Linked DNA regions of Solanum lycopersicum. Each later gene encodes a partner of the first gene's protein in a complex. Links are inferred from orthologs where the notes say so. Each region holds a gene or a part of one and is shown on either strand. Other genes may lie near its edges.

Evidence for each region. The genes of interacting proteins can lie anywhere in the genome.
Region 2: PWWP domain-containing protein 1 (region 1) and PWWP domain-containing protein 6 share a complex: the UniProt entries of both Arabidopsis thaliana proteins name them as parts of the PRC2 (polycomb repressive complex 2) complex. The link is inferred for Solanum lycopersicum from reciprocal best matches to the Arabidopsis thaliana genes AT5G27650 and AT5G40340.

What each region holds. Positions count from the first base shown.
Region 1 is NC_090800.1:85,522,342-85,529,182, forward strand, and holds the start of PWWP domain-containing protein 1, read left to right. Parts: upstream 1-2,374; 5' UTR 2,375-2,598; coding exon 2,599-3,652; intron 3,653-6,841. UniProt on the Arabidopsis thaliana protein: Together with PDP2, PDP3 and PDP6, interacts with MSI4/FVE and MSI5 to suppress FLC, MAF4 and MAF5 expression by regulating the function of the PRC2 complex and modulating H3K27me3 level, thereby promoting flowering.
Region 2 is NC_090801.1:65,660,342-65,666,979, reverse strand, and holds PWWP domain-containing protein 6, read right to left. Parts: upstream 4,088-6,638; 5' UTR 3,938-4,087; intron 3,728-3,937; 5' UTR 3,674-3,727; coding exon 1,166-3,673; 3' UTR 974-1,165; downstream 1-973. Other genes in the region: large ribosomal subunit protein bL12c, read right to left, coding at 6,347-6,638. UniProt on the Arabidopsis thaliana protein: Together with PDP1, PDP2 and PDP6, interacts with MSI4/FVE and MSI5 to suppress FLC, MAF4 and MAF5 expression by regulating the function of the PRC2 complex and modulating H3K27me3 level, thereby promoting flowering.

The DNA of each region.
Region 1 (6,841 bases):
AGAATAAGATATGGAGTCGAGAATTCTTTTAGGGTGGAGGTAAGTAATGTCTTTTGTATCAAGGCAGGCGGGACTTTTGTTGTATTATTATGAGTGGCTACTAGTGCTACTTATTTTTTGGTCTGAGTATTCACCAGAACTATCCTCAGAGAGAGAATTAATTGGTAACAAAGTATAGGAATGGGGTTTTCAGGTATTTATGGATTTTTGTAATGCATTTCGTCTTACTGTATTTGTCTCATGGAAAAGCTAAGAGTTATTCATAGAATGTAGTATGAATTGTAATACTTTTTTAGCCTATGGTTGCATTCAGTTACTTCTTGTTTAAACTGTCATCCTTGGAATATCGACAGAGAAGTTTATGGGCAAGGGATAAAATTGCTAGCTTCAAAGAAACTGTTGGTTAGACTTCAGTTCAAGTTAAACAGCTTAACGCTTTTTAAGCATTGGAAACTAATCCTATAAATAACTAATTTCGTATTTAGATAAAATTGTTGAGATTGATAGTAATAGATAACAAAGAATAACACATATTTAAGTTCTGTCAAGTCACGTTATAGATCTTGCAAAATAAAATTAAAAAAAGGCAGAAGTTTTGGGTGGTACGTTCATGAATTTTCATTAGCTTTCACTTTTAACTTGTTACGGTATGATGTGGCACATTACTTGCTATGTCTATTTCTCAGGATGTTGTATTTGGATGATGGAGAGGAGATAATTAATGTTAATAAGAAGTCATTTCTTTTTATTGTATGATGAACTTGTATTCTTTATGAATACATTCTCAAAATATTCTGACAAAAATGAATTTATATATATTTCCCTACCAAACACACCCTCAATGCTTTTCTTTTTGTTAAACACCCTCTATGTTTCTAAACTTGAGCATCAAACATTAAATCATTGATTTGCTAGATTTTTTACTCTAATAAAAGATGTGTTATCAAACATTAAATCATTGATTTGCTAGATTTTTTACTCTAAAATATGTGTTATTTATAGTTTTCTCTATTTGAGAGACGCATACTTGGAATTATGATCATATATAAAAGTTTTACAAAGTAACTTATTTTGATATCATCTATTCGTGTTTATCTTTTAAAATATTTTATATACATTCACTTCAAATATACATTGTATGAACTTCAACTCATCGAACATAAATATAAAATAATTGTTATTTAAATAGATGATATATGATTGAATTTTCAGTCCAATATGATTGAAATTCAAAAAAAAAAGATTAGACTTAAACTCTAGCCTAACTTCAGACACAATCAATCTTAAATAAATTTATGTGTATAAAAAAATTAAAAAGTATATCCAAATAATTAGATAACTCGTCAAAATAGGGTACCTGTATACGTCGGCCTGTACATGTGGCTTTAATCTTAAGAATTCGGACTAATCATTTTTTTTTAAAGAAAATTGTATATAACAGCAAACTAATAACCTAAAATAAATAGAGTAGCTAGGGTTTGATTTAATTGTGCTCCATAGCAAACGTTTACAAAAAATTGTCAGGCGCCTCTCTCCCAAATATCTCGCTCGCCACTCTCCTCCAATCTGTCGCTCGCTTCCTCACTTTTTATGCAAACACAAGTGTATAAAATTTATTTCTAATTGTATAAAGCAGAGAAAATTATATAAATACATATGTTTTTGTTCCCCTCTCTCTCCTCTTTCAGATCTCGCTCGCCACTATCCCAAATCTCGCTCGCTACCCTCGCCTTTCTCACTTATATAAACAGAAGCGAAATGTATAAATTGCGTTTATGTTTGTATAAAACATGAGAAAATTGTATATACACATGCAAATACATATATTTTCGTCCTATATACTTATAATTGTACAATAAAAATACTCCCCTGCCCAATTTCTTTTGTCTTTCTCTCTTTCTCGTTTTATACAATTTTCAAAATTGTATCTAATTTCTCTCTTTCTCGTTTTATACGATTCGATTCAATTGTATATTCCTTGTCAAGTCTCTTTTGTCTTTCTCTCTTTCTCATTTATACAAATTCAAATTGTATATAATCGTTCTATACACTTATAATAATACAATCGTTTTATACACTTCGTTTTTATACAGTTCTCTGTCCAAGTGTCTTTCTCTTTCTTGTTTTATACAATTCATTTTATACAATTTGCTTCAACTGTATATGTATAACGAATTATATAATTTCTATGTTTGATATGAAGCGCAATTATGCAAACTTTGCTATAACATACAAATATAAATTTTTTATTTGTTATACGTGAAAATTGCCCTTTTTTTTCCGTTTAACCAAAAAATTATGCACACTTAAATCATTTGTACGTGGCGTGAAAAAAGAGCCATAATAACACGTGGTGTCTTCCACTTAGGGCCTTAAACAGGTTTAAGCCCATGGGCCGGAACCAATAAGCTCCATTTCTCTCTCACGCATCTACAATTCTACATTTGTCTTTTGTTCTCTCGCAGGGTTTGTACCGTAGTATCCAGAATTCTCACTATATCCGTGAATTTGCTGCATTTTCCTGGGGAATTCATCGGTGTTCTTCGTCCTGAAGGTTCATTTTGAAGTCGTATGGAAACGGAGTTTTAGCTCCAGGAGATGATTTCTGTGATGAGCAACAGATTCGAAGCAAATCGAAGTAACGATTCAGTAGAAGAGACGCAAGTTAGGGTTTCCAGTAGGAACCCCTCAGATGATTCTGAACAAGCGAGGGTTTCTATGGACGGAAAGGATTCTAGGGTTTCGAATTCCCAAACGGAGGATTCTAGGGTTTTGGAATCGGAAACTGAGGGAAATCAAACTAGGGTTAACGAAATAAAAGACGAAGAAGGTGGTAGTTCGGTGAAGTCAGGTCGAATGAAGTTGGAGCAGAAAGGAAAGACAGCATTGGTTTCTAGTAAAACTGATGCGAGGAAGGGAAAATTGGAGCCTTATGTTTCTGAGTATGATTTAATGCTCTCTAAGTTTGATGAATTTGCAGGAAATGTGAAATGTTGGTCAGTTGGTTATGGGTTTGAAATGGGTGATATGGTGTGGGGAAAGGTGAAGTCACACCCTTGGTGGCCAGGTCACATTTTCAGCGAAGCGTTCGCTACTCCTTCTGTGCGAAGGAGTAAAAGGGAGGGTCACATTTTGGTTGCTTTTTATGGTGATAGCAGCTATGGATGGTTTGATCCAGATGAGCTTGTACATTTTGAACCAACTTATGCGGAGAAGTCTATGCAAACTAATGTGAAGAACTTTATAAAAGCAGTGGAGGAAGGGGTCGATGAAGTGAGCCGTAGGAGTGCTTTAGGTTTGGTTTGTTATTGTAGGAAGACATATAGACTTCGTGCTGTGTCAATTAATGGGTTCTTTGCTGTTGATTTTAGTGATCTTGAGAGGAATTGTACTTACTCAGCTAGTCAGATTAAAAAGGCTAGGGAAAGCTTTAAACCCAAAGAAACTAGGGGTTATGTGAATAAGTTGGCATTGAAGCCTAGGAGAAAAGTGCATGCGGATCTTAACCTTGTTAAGAAGAAGGCAACCGCGTTGGCTTATAGAAAGGCTGTTTTTGAGGAAGATGATCCTACCTATGCAGAAGCTTTTGGTGTTGTTTATTCTAAACAAGCACAAGAAGTGGCTCAACCATTTAGACAACCCTCTTCAAGAGGTATTATGTTTCACTCCCTTTGTTTTATTCAATGCTCTCCTATCAAAACCCCAAGAAATAACCTTGCAAATCTTTTGCCCTGTTAGTGTGTACTTAATTTTGGAGTATAATATAGCTCATTATTGAGGATGATACACCTAGAAGATGATACACCTAGAACACTAAATTTGAAGGAATTGCAATGTTTTAACTTGTTTGTTTCAAGTTATTTGGATAGAAACTACTTTGTTGGATTGTGTAACTAGGTATTGGTATTGATGTCATGTTGCAGTGCCGCTCAAGGCCATCAACATTGGCACATTACTAATTTGGTGAAGATTGAGTGTTAATAGGATATTAGGCGAGGGAAAGTGTAAAGAACTTTCCCTTTTATATATCCAATCTACTTTTCTAGCCACCCCCAAAATATTGTGGGGTGTTCAAATGATAAGTTGGTCAATGTACCAATGTCCCCCTTAAGCATGAAATTTCACTTTTGGTTATGTTAATATAAGGGTGAACCGCCCTTAATCTAATGGAATTGGAAGATAGGAAAGAAAACATGAGATGAGTTGCACATTAGTGCATAATAATGTCTTATAGAAGTTTACGGCGATTAAAGCTATAACTGGCTGCATAATAGGTTATGCTCAACATTAATGTTGTTAGCTCCCGCTATTGTTATAGTGGGACACGTGAATTAGAGCCTAAAGGCGAATTCAGTTGGTTGGATATCTTCAACTATATAAATAACTAATGGTTGTAGTATGGGTTTTTACTTTATGTGTAAGGGGTTGTCTGGCAGGATGTGTTGGAAAAATAGTAGATCATTAACTTTGTGTATTATTAATACCATGTTTGGTACATTTTTTCAATCTATGTATAACTAATGTAAGTATTAGTTATGCTATATATAATTAATAAATACCAAACATGGTTATAGAAATGTAATGATTTTTGATGCATTCATTAGCATGTTTAAAGATAACATTGTCCTTCAAAGAATTTCCACACCCTTACGACAATATTATACAATGGTGGGTGTTTTTGTGAACATATTTTTTTGTGTGTGGAAATTATGTGATGCTACTACAACAGATTTAGAAGTGCATAAGAAATAATCTCAGTATAAGTATAACTAATGTAGTATTAGCAATACACCTTATTTTTAGGGCTCTTTTTATACACTGTATCAAACGGCCCTAAATGTATAACTCTATCCCCCATCACACAAAAACCAATTCCATCAAAAACCAATTACAAAATAAGCTTCCATTCCTACTAACACGACTTAGGCCTCCTACTAAAACAACTAATTACATTTGTAAATGTTGAATGAAAAAACTACATTTTGTTGCCTTCTTTGATTAACTTAGGATATATAATGTCTCTATCAACATTATCAACTCCTTAAATTGTGTCACTACCTCCTCTCTCTGCATACTTATATTAAATTTTTTCCATTTTCTAGCTCTCCACATATGATAAGGTATCGCCCCACTTACAACTGCAATGATTTCCTTTTGAAACTGCTTCCAATGCTTCAACTTTATGCCCTCTATACCTGCTTGATTCCATTACTTATCAGTGTAATCCCGGTCCACTGCATCAATTCTTGCCACTATTTTAGTCCAACTGATTCAAATAAATGCACTATGGTCTCCATAGTCTGTTCATCACAGAGGCAGTAATCCCTATCTTCAACTAGAATATGTATGTAATCTCAATTTTCTCTCCTGAGTGATTAGTCGACCTTGCACGGTAAACCACACTATGAATTTGTGCTTAGGTGGAGCTACAACAGGCCAAACCAATTCAACAATTTTCATGTGTGGCCTATGTCCTAATAATTCCAAATAGCTTCTTGTGATAGAATATTTCTCACTTTGAGTTGATTTTTATCTGTTCTTGCAGTGCCATTCCTGCATTTGGTACTTAATTGCATTAACTTTCCTCCACTACCAACTACAATCTATAGGTACCTTGTGATTCCATAAAGAACTTTCATCCTTTAGATATACCATGTACCCATTTAACTCACAAAGCTTCCTTGTTCTCTATGGTTTGCCAAATCAATTAGCCCACCGAAGCCACATTCCAAGCACGACTTTCTTTTATATTCAATCCACCTCTTCTTTTAAGATGACACACCTTATCCCATAAAGCCAGTGCAACCTTTTTCCTATCTTCAGATTTTCCCCACAAATAGCTCCTAAACTTCTTTATGTTATCTCTCTCAAATTACTAGCTATTAGAATTAATGTGTTGGGTCATCTTTATCATCCAAGTTAGTATTTTGGAAGGTAAGACGTCAAGGACCTGCCTCATTAAGGTAAATTGCTTGCCTTTTTGAATTGATTTACCAATATATCCTGAAAATTAAATATGTAATTGTCTATATAAATAATCGAAAGCTCAATAACAACAATATATTAGCAAATATTTCAATTCAAAGAACTTGAAGGAGTCAAAATTTTAGACAAGCATTACTAAATTGCTTAAAGTAAAAAGAAAGACAAAACAAGCTAGAAAAGAATGTGCTAGTTCCTAATTACCAAAACAAACTTACCTTTTGCAACTGAAGTCTAAAGACGGATGGAGAACCCAGTTGACTCAGAAAAGGTAAGGGGTGATAAAACCCTAAAATCACAAGCATCGTCTTTTCCTTCCTTTTTTTTGAACTTATGTCACACCTATGTCGACATGACGTGAGTGTGGGATCTGTATTGGATGTGGTCAACCAATTTTGCGTACTTTGGCCAAACTCGATAGTGAAATAAAGACAAAAATAGTGATTTTTGAAATCATATCTAGAGCTAGGGTGATTTAGGCATAAGCTTTTTATCGTTTAAAGATATTGTAATAAAAAATTAGCCGTCAGAAGGGCTGTAAGGATATTTATGGGCTAAAACTTAACATAACTATTTAATGTGTGGTGAACTAAATAACTTTATCATGTCCCCTTAAACCACGTGCAGTAGCTTTGTTGCTCGCAGCAAACCAAAAAAATGAGATACACTTGTAGATATATGATTCTTTTAGACGTATTCCCTCACCCGCACTCGTACCTCGATATGTATCCTTGAATCTTTAAATATGCATTACATATGATCAAGTTTCTGGATCCACATATTTATTACACATACGCCCTCAAGTTTGAGCAACTTAGTTTATTATTTTGGAGTAGTCAAATCAAACTAACTTTGATTA
Region 2 (6,638 bases), on another chromosome or scaffold:
CATTCTTCTTTTCTTTGCATTTTCATGTTTGTTCTTGATATATAATGTCATTGTAAGGACAATCCAATAATTAATCCAAAATAGTAAATGCCATGAAATTGAATAAGTAAGCGTTCTAATCATTTTGGTTCTACTCAACTTTCCTTGATCCCTTGTAAACAATTGTAAAAAAATAAATAATCCAAAAAACATAGTTAATTCGAAATGGTACATTACAACAACAATTATAGTTCTGGAACTTCAATAACGGAAATAATAGTAGGGATAAATATTCTTCAAACATGTTTTGAAACCTACTACAATTCATTTTCTGCAAATCCTGAAATATTCTTTTCTAAAATGTCAGAATTTTAACTGGGTTGATATCCAAATCTAGAGTTACATAGCTAGTTCACAGCCTTATAGCTCCAATCAATGTTTGGCAAAGATTATGAGCCATTATTATGCCAAAGAATGAACTCTTGACTCCCTCTAATTGTAATTGATGTATTCGTAACTGCTTAATGCTTGATGCTGGACAATACCTTTCTTCACTATCTGTGCTTTGATATTATGGTTAGCAGAACTTCACGACTGTTTTGGGCTTATCACAGACATTCATTGGCACCCGGAAGGTACATTCTTGATAATTCATTAAAAGAAATATATAGAATGCCTTTGATATAGACACTAAACTTCTGCAGTCACGTGACAAATACAAACTTCACAAGGCTATTGTATCCATAAACAAGCTCATATCAGTATGATATTAACTCTGAATGTGCAAATAATAGACTCAGAAAACCGACTGTATCCCTGCATTCAACAAGCAATTCAAGCTACCATCTCTACAAGTGCAGTTCAGGATCTTTTGACAACGATACATTGACAAGAATATTCATAAATGCAAAACACAAACGCATTTTTACTTCCCTTTTAGTTTTGGTTGGTCAGGGGATGGCTGCAGATTCAGCTAACTCTTAACAAAAACTAATCAAAGTAATTGCAACTTTATAGTAACTTGAGCAAATCAATTGTACAGAGCTAGCATCCTATGCTCCTACTTCATACACGAACCTAATACAAGTGCATTCAGTATCCTAATCAACATAAGCTGGACAATATACTAACACTATCAACAAAAGGAGAACACATCAAGTTGAAGCAACCAGCTTCAGGAGATCTCCTATGGGTTTGTTGAAGTCACTGCACTTACCTTCTCCACCAAGCCTTTTATCTCATTCTCCAACTCTGATTTCTCAGCGCTTGTAATCTTACCCTTGCACTTATCCAATATTGATGCCATCCCTTTCAGCTTCTGCTTGATTAGTTGTACCTGTGACTTCCCCTTACGAGCTTTTAGCGAGGATAGTGGACTCTCAGATTTAGAGGAATAGCTGAGCGTAAAGTTCACATTAGCAGCACCAAAAGGACTTTGCCTTACCGATTCTTTAAAGGCCTGTGCAGCATCTGCACCATGCCTGTAGACAATTCGAACAGAGTTCGAATCACGAAGCACTTCTGTTTCCTCTTCATTCAGCTCTCCAAACTTGTTATATATTCGAATGATTTCATCTTCTGGTGGCAAAGAAAAACCAGTCAAAAATGCCACCAACAGAATCACAGATGAAGCTTCTCTACCATCATCCTCATCTTCTTTTCCCTGACTAGAAGGACCATAGTCTTTTTTGAGTTTGGTAACTTCTGATTTTGCATAATTTGTCTTCCTCTTCTTTGAAGGAATGGAGTCTGGTGATTCAGTATCACTCTGGGAAATTAGATTTCCTGATCCCGCGGATTTTCTCTTCTTTCCTGTTTCCATTTGGTGATACTGCTTGTAGTTTGATCCATCATAATATAGCGAGTTTCTGAAAGTGGAAATGAAACCTCTGGCCTTCTCAAGAGATCCATTCCTCAACAGAAGAGGGTTTAGAGCAGTAGACTGAACCTCGGACAAAACTTCATCCACAGATGAATTGATAGCCACGGTATCAAAAGTCCTAGAGCTTCGCTTATTGATCCCAGAACTCTTGTCAACGTCATCCTTGAAGGCCTCTTTCCCATTCGAATCAGGAGAAGACAAAAGAAGACGTGCAGCCTTTGTCATCCTCTCACCAATCTTGGAATTATCAGAAAATTTCTGTGATTCTATTGCCAGTTCTCTCTTAAAGCTTGATTTTCCTGCATTCCACTTGGGGCTTGTATAAGGAGGTGACAAATACTTGCTCTTCTTTCTTTCCCTTGATAAAGGGCCCGCATTGTCTTGCTGGTTGCCAACTTCATCACTCTCAGGAATTGAAACACTAAGTTTCTTTGTTTTCACCAAGTCACTGTCACCAGACTTCTTGTTGACCCTCTTACCAATTTTTTCATCAACACTCATCGAGCTGCCAGTTTGACCTTTAGCTTTCTCACCAGACTTCTTCCTTTTCTTCTCGGATGTTTCTACAGACGAAGGTGTAGAATCGTCTTCAGTTGTCTTCTTACCTTTGGGCTTGGCGTTCTCTCCCATAAGTTCAGCCACACTTTTCTGCTTCCTCTTCTGATAAATCTTGTCGCAGGCAGTCATAGGAAACTTTGAAGATCCAGAATTAGGAATTTCTTCTGATGGACCCTGAATGGGAACCTCAATGGGTATGCTGAAGTCATTTGCATCAATGACTTGATCTTCCTTCTTGTCCTCGAGGCCTTCAACTAGAAGGGGTTCACAATATGAAGCCAAAGGGTGTCCATACTTAGCACGATAAAAAGCAGATAGCCAACTATTCAAGACAGCAAACTCAAGTATATTGGAATGAGAATTGGTTAGTGCATTACGTTTTAGACCTTTAAGTCTTTCCGCAGGTTCAAACTGAGAAAGTAAAAGACTGACAGTTTCTGACACAGGCACTTGAACACCCTTTTTGATTCCAGCATTCACTGCCAATGGCCAACTAAGTCCAGTAAGACTCTCTTCAGAGACACATTGGCAGGTCATTTGAAACTCCACAAGCACACCAATTTCATCCAAGGTTTTTTCAACAGCATATAAGAAACTCTTGGAAGTGCTCTGCTTTGACATTTTTTCAAAGTTGTCAACAAAAGGCACCAATTGCGAAGGGGGGCACCAAGAAAATGACCCATCTCCAAAGTATGCCACTAGCAATCGACCTGTTTGATTATACTTCATAGCAAAGTCAGAGGCAGTGGAAGCATCGTAAACACGCCCTGGCCACCACGGATGACTCTTAATCTTGCCCCACACAAAGTCACCAACTGCATAAACATGTTTTACACTAGTTGTATCATCCCCAGAGTTATCCTCAGCAGTTTCTCCGTCAACAGCATCAATCATCTCATCATCCGAACCACCAGCTACATTCTCCTCTCCGTTCATTTCCTCAACCAAATGTCCAGACCCTTGATCTGCTTCAGCCCCTTCACTCGCAAGCTCTCCCCCACTCACATTATCCAGTGAACCATGAACTTCCACCACATCACCACCAGCGTCACTCCCCACTTCCAGGGTCTCCTCTGTAGCAACAACTGGCTCGCTAATAGCACCAGTATCCACATTTCCATTATCATCAGAAACCCTAGGCACCTCATCAGACAACCCAGTTACAGAATCAGCCATTAGGGTTTCAGAGTCCAATGCTTCAGCTGACAACCCATCTAGGTTTTCGCTCTTCTCTGTTTTTTCTTCACTCGACATACCCAAATAAAACGTTACAAAACACAATCACTTCAGTTCTATACCGGTTCAAATCTGCAACAAGAAAAAAAAAACACAACACCCCAGCTCAGAAAAATCCCCCCCCCCCAAAAAAAAACATAATCAGAAACACAGACCACAAATTCTCAACCTTTCTATGAACATAGGGTTTGGGGTTCCATTTCTAGACATTAAAAATCACACATACAAAAACTATAACAGATAAATAAAATGAATAAACATAAACAGAGGAAAGGAACAAACCAGAATCGACCAGAGCTTGCAAACTTCTGGAGGAATCGCCTTGCCTCTTCTGTTAGTTGAGAGAGAGAGAGAGAGAGAAGAGTAAATGAGCTTGTAGAAACCGCAAGGAGTTTTGGCTTTTGAGTTTTGGACAAAAATATATTTTCGTACAGTTGGCTTATTTTGCGTTTCTATCAGTCAAAACAGAGCTTGGACGGTTGAGATTAAAGATGCCTTGAAAACGCTCTGAAATGAAATAAAACAAAGAGTTGGACGGTCGAGATGTAATGTAAGAAATGAAAGGTTTCCAACGATGTAGGCGGTAAATTTTGGGGATCTTCCTTGAAATTTGAATCATCCATCATTTACCGCTCTTATTTTTTGGGTTCTATAGGAAAATGGATTGTGTTTACGACGAATTATATTGTGACACGTGGTAAAATTAAAATAAAAAAAAATACTTGTTATAATGTGTCTTTGTGGAATTGGAATGGTGATACGTGATAAAATTAAGATTGAGAAAATACTTGTTATAATTTGTGCCTTTGTGGAATTGGGAAGGATCATTCGTTGAGGCGATTTAATGTTTATTTGTGATTGGAGAACTAATGGGACCTTTTTCGGGAGAGCCCACCTTAAAATTGTACATGCTTATGACATCTTTTGCGAAGATCAACCATTAATCTTGAGTCTTATGCTGACCTATCCCAATCAGCTTCAAGTGAAGTGTCGAAACATAGGCACTTGCTACTAGTTAGTTTTTTTGTGTTAATCAATAGTCTTTTAACGTTAAAAGAAGTTTGACTTTTGGTGATGTACATAAAAAAAATATTTTAGAAGGCATCAAAGAACTTGAGAAATCTACGAGTCTTTTAGTCTTCTAAGCTTAGAATATTCACGAAAAAAAAAGCTTTCGACCTTCTCCTTAGTTGTATTTATCTGTTTTACTTCATGATATATATTCTTGTATTAACCCTATGCCTTGGTCTTTTAGCACATTTTTTGGTTTTCCATTATCTCGTTGCTGAATTCTGAACCTTCTTGTATAGCTCTATTCGAAGAGTAGTATCAATGACTACTTTTTCTCCTAAAAACCAAATATTTGAAACAATTTAATATACAACATTTATAAATTTCAAGAATTTTTTAAAATACAGTAGAAGAAGAATACACTAAACTAGTCTGGTAATATAACCAAGTTATAGCTACAAAGTCATTTAAAAACTAAACCCTATATACACAATGAAAATTCCGTACAAATATTTTGCAAGAAATTGAGAAGTAGAATTCCAAAAATTTCAAGAATTTAAAAATCATCCGAAGAAAAGTATAACTCACAAAAATCTTAAAAACCTCATTATTCAAATATTATTTTTCACTTTGAAAATAAAAATTACTTTTTTATCATATACTCACAATTTTTACGACCAAATATTTCTGAAATTCGTCCCTTTTTTTCGATGATCTCATAAATACAAGAAAGTACATCCTAATTGTGTTGCCAAACATGTTACTAACTTAGTTCTGAAAACAGGCTTCCTACTACAGATAGGTTGTCTAAATGGAGATTGTATTCACATACAATCATTCTATGTGAATACAATGTATAAATTCTGTCAAACACACTCGAAAAATAGAGAACATCTTTATCTTCTGTAATTTTGACTTGGATCAATAGACCAAGTTTCATTGCTAACACATGTTTGCAGCACTTAGATTGAGCAATCAACAACTCCAAAGGTAAGTCTCAAAGTGCTTAACTAAACAGAATATTATATGCTAAATGCATTCATGCTCTGTGGATGGAGAGAAACCAGACAACATTTTAAGCCCACTGTGATTATATAGCCAAAGAAGTAGCATTTATGGAGGCTGATGCATTCTCCAACAAATTCATTCAACATTGACTATTTGCCCTCTGTTGAAGGTGTTCTAAAAATCTGTGCTATCGTCTATCGAGTACATAGCTCAAACAAATGAATGAATTGGGTCAAACTTATGAAAACCAAAAAAATAAAATTGTACCAGTTATAAGTTTCATCTGCTAGGCTTCACTCTAGATTTTCATGTAAGATGGCACAGGCATGGCTTAGGTCAATTTTGGGACAAGAGATTTTTCAACTATTATTACAACTCATACAAACTTGAGGAAATAGACACCGGTGATATAAGTTACGAGCCTAGTGTTACTTTGAGCAAACTTGCGCGCACATTGACTATTTCATCGAGTACAATTTACGAGGATGAGAAGAAATTGAAACACACAATAACAATTACAAAATTATGCAGAATCATAAATATTGATTTTAGAAAATTGGGTACAACTATCTAATAGCTGAATGCTCTTACAAAAACAAAAAAAAACTCAGTAATTTTTCCCAGTTCAAAAAAAAAAAAAGGAATAAGAATGAACATTTACCACAAATTGATTTAAGCAATAGAGACTTTAGCACCAGCTTCTTCGAGCTGTTTCTTAGCATCTTCAGCCTCATCCTTGGAAACACCCTCCTTAAATTTCTTAGGCAATCCTTCAATCAATTCCTTAGCCTCTTTCAATGCCAAACTTGTTAAAGCCCTAACAGCCTTAATGGTAGCAATTCTAGCATTACTCGGCACTTCATCGATGACTACGTCAAATTCCGTCTTCTCTTCAACCACAGCTGGAGCATCTGCGGCTGCGCCACCAGGGGCAGCGACAACGGCAGCAGGAGCGAAGGATGCG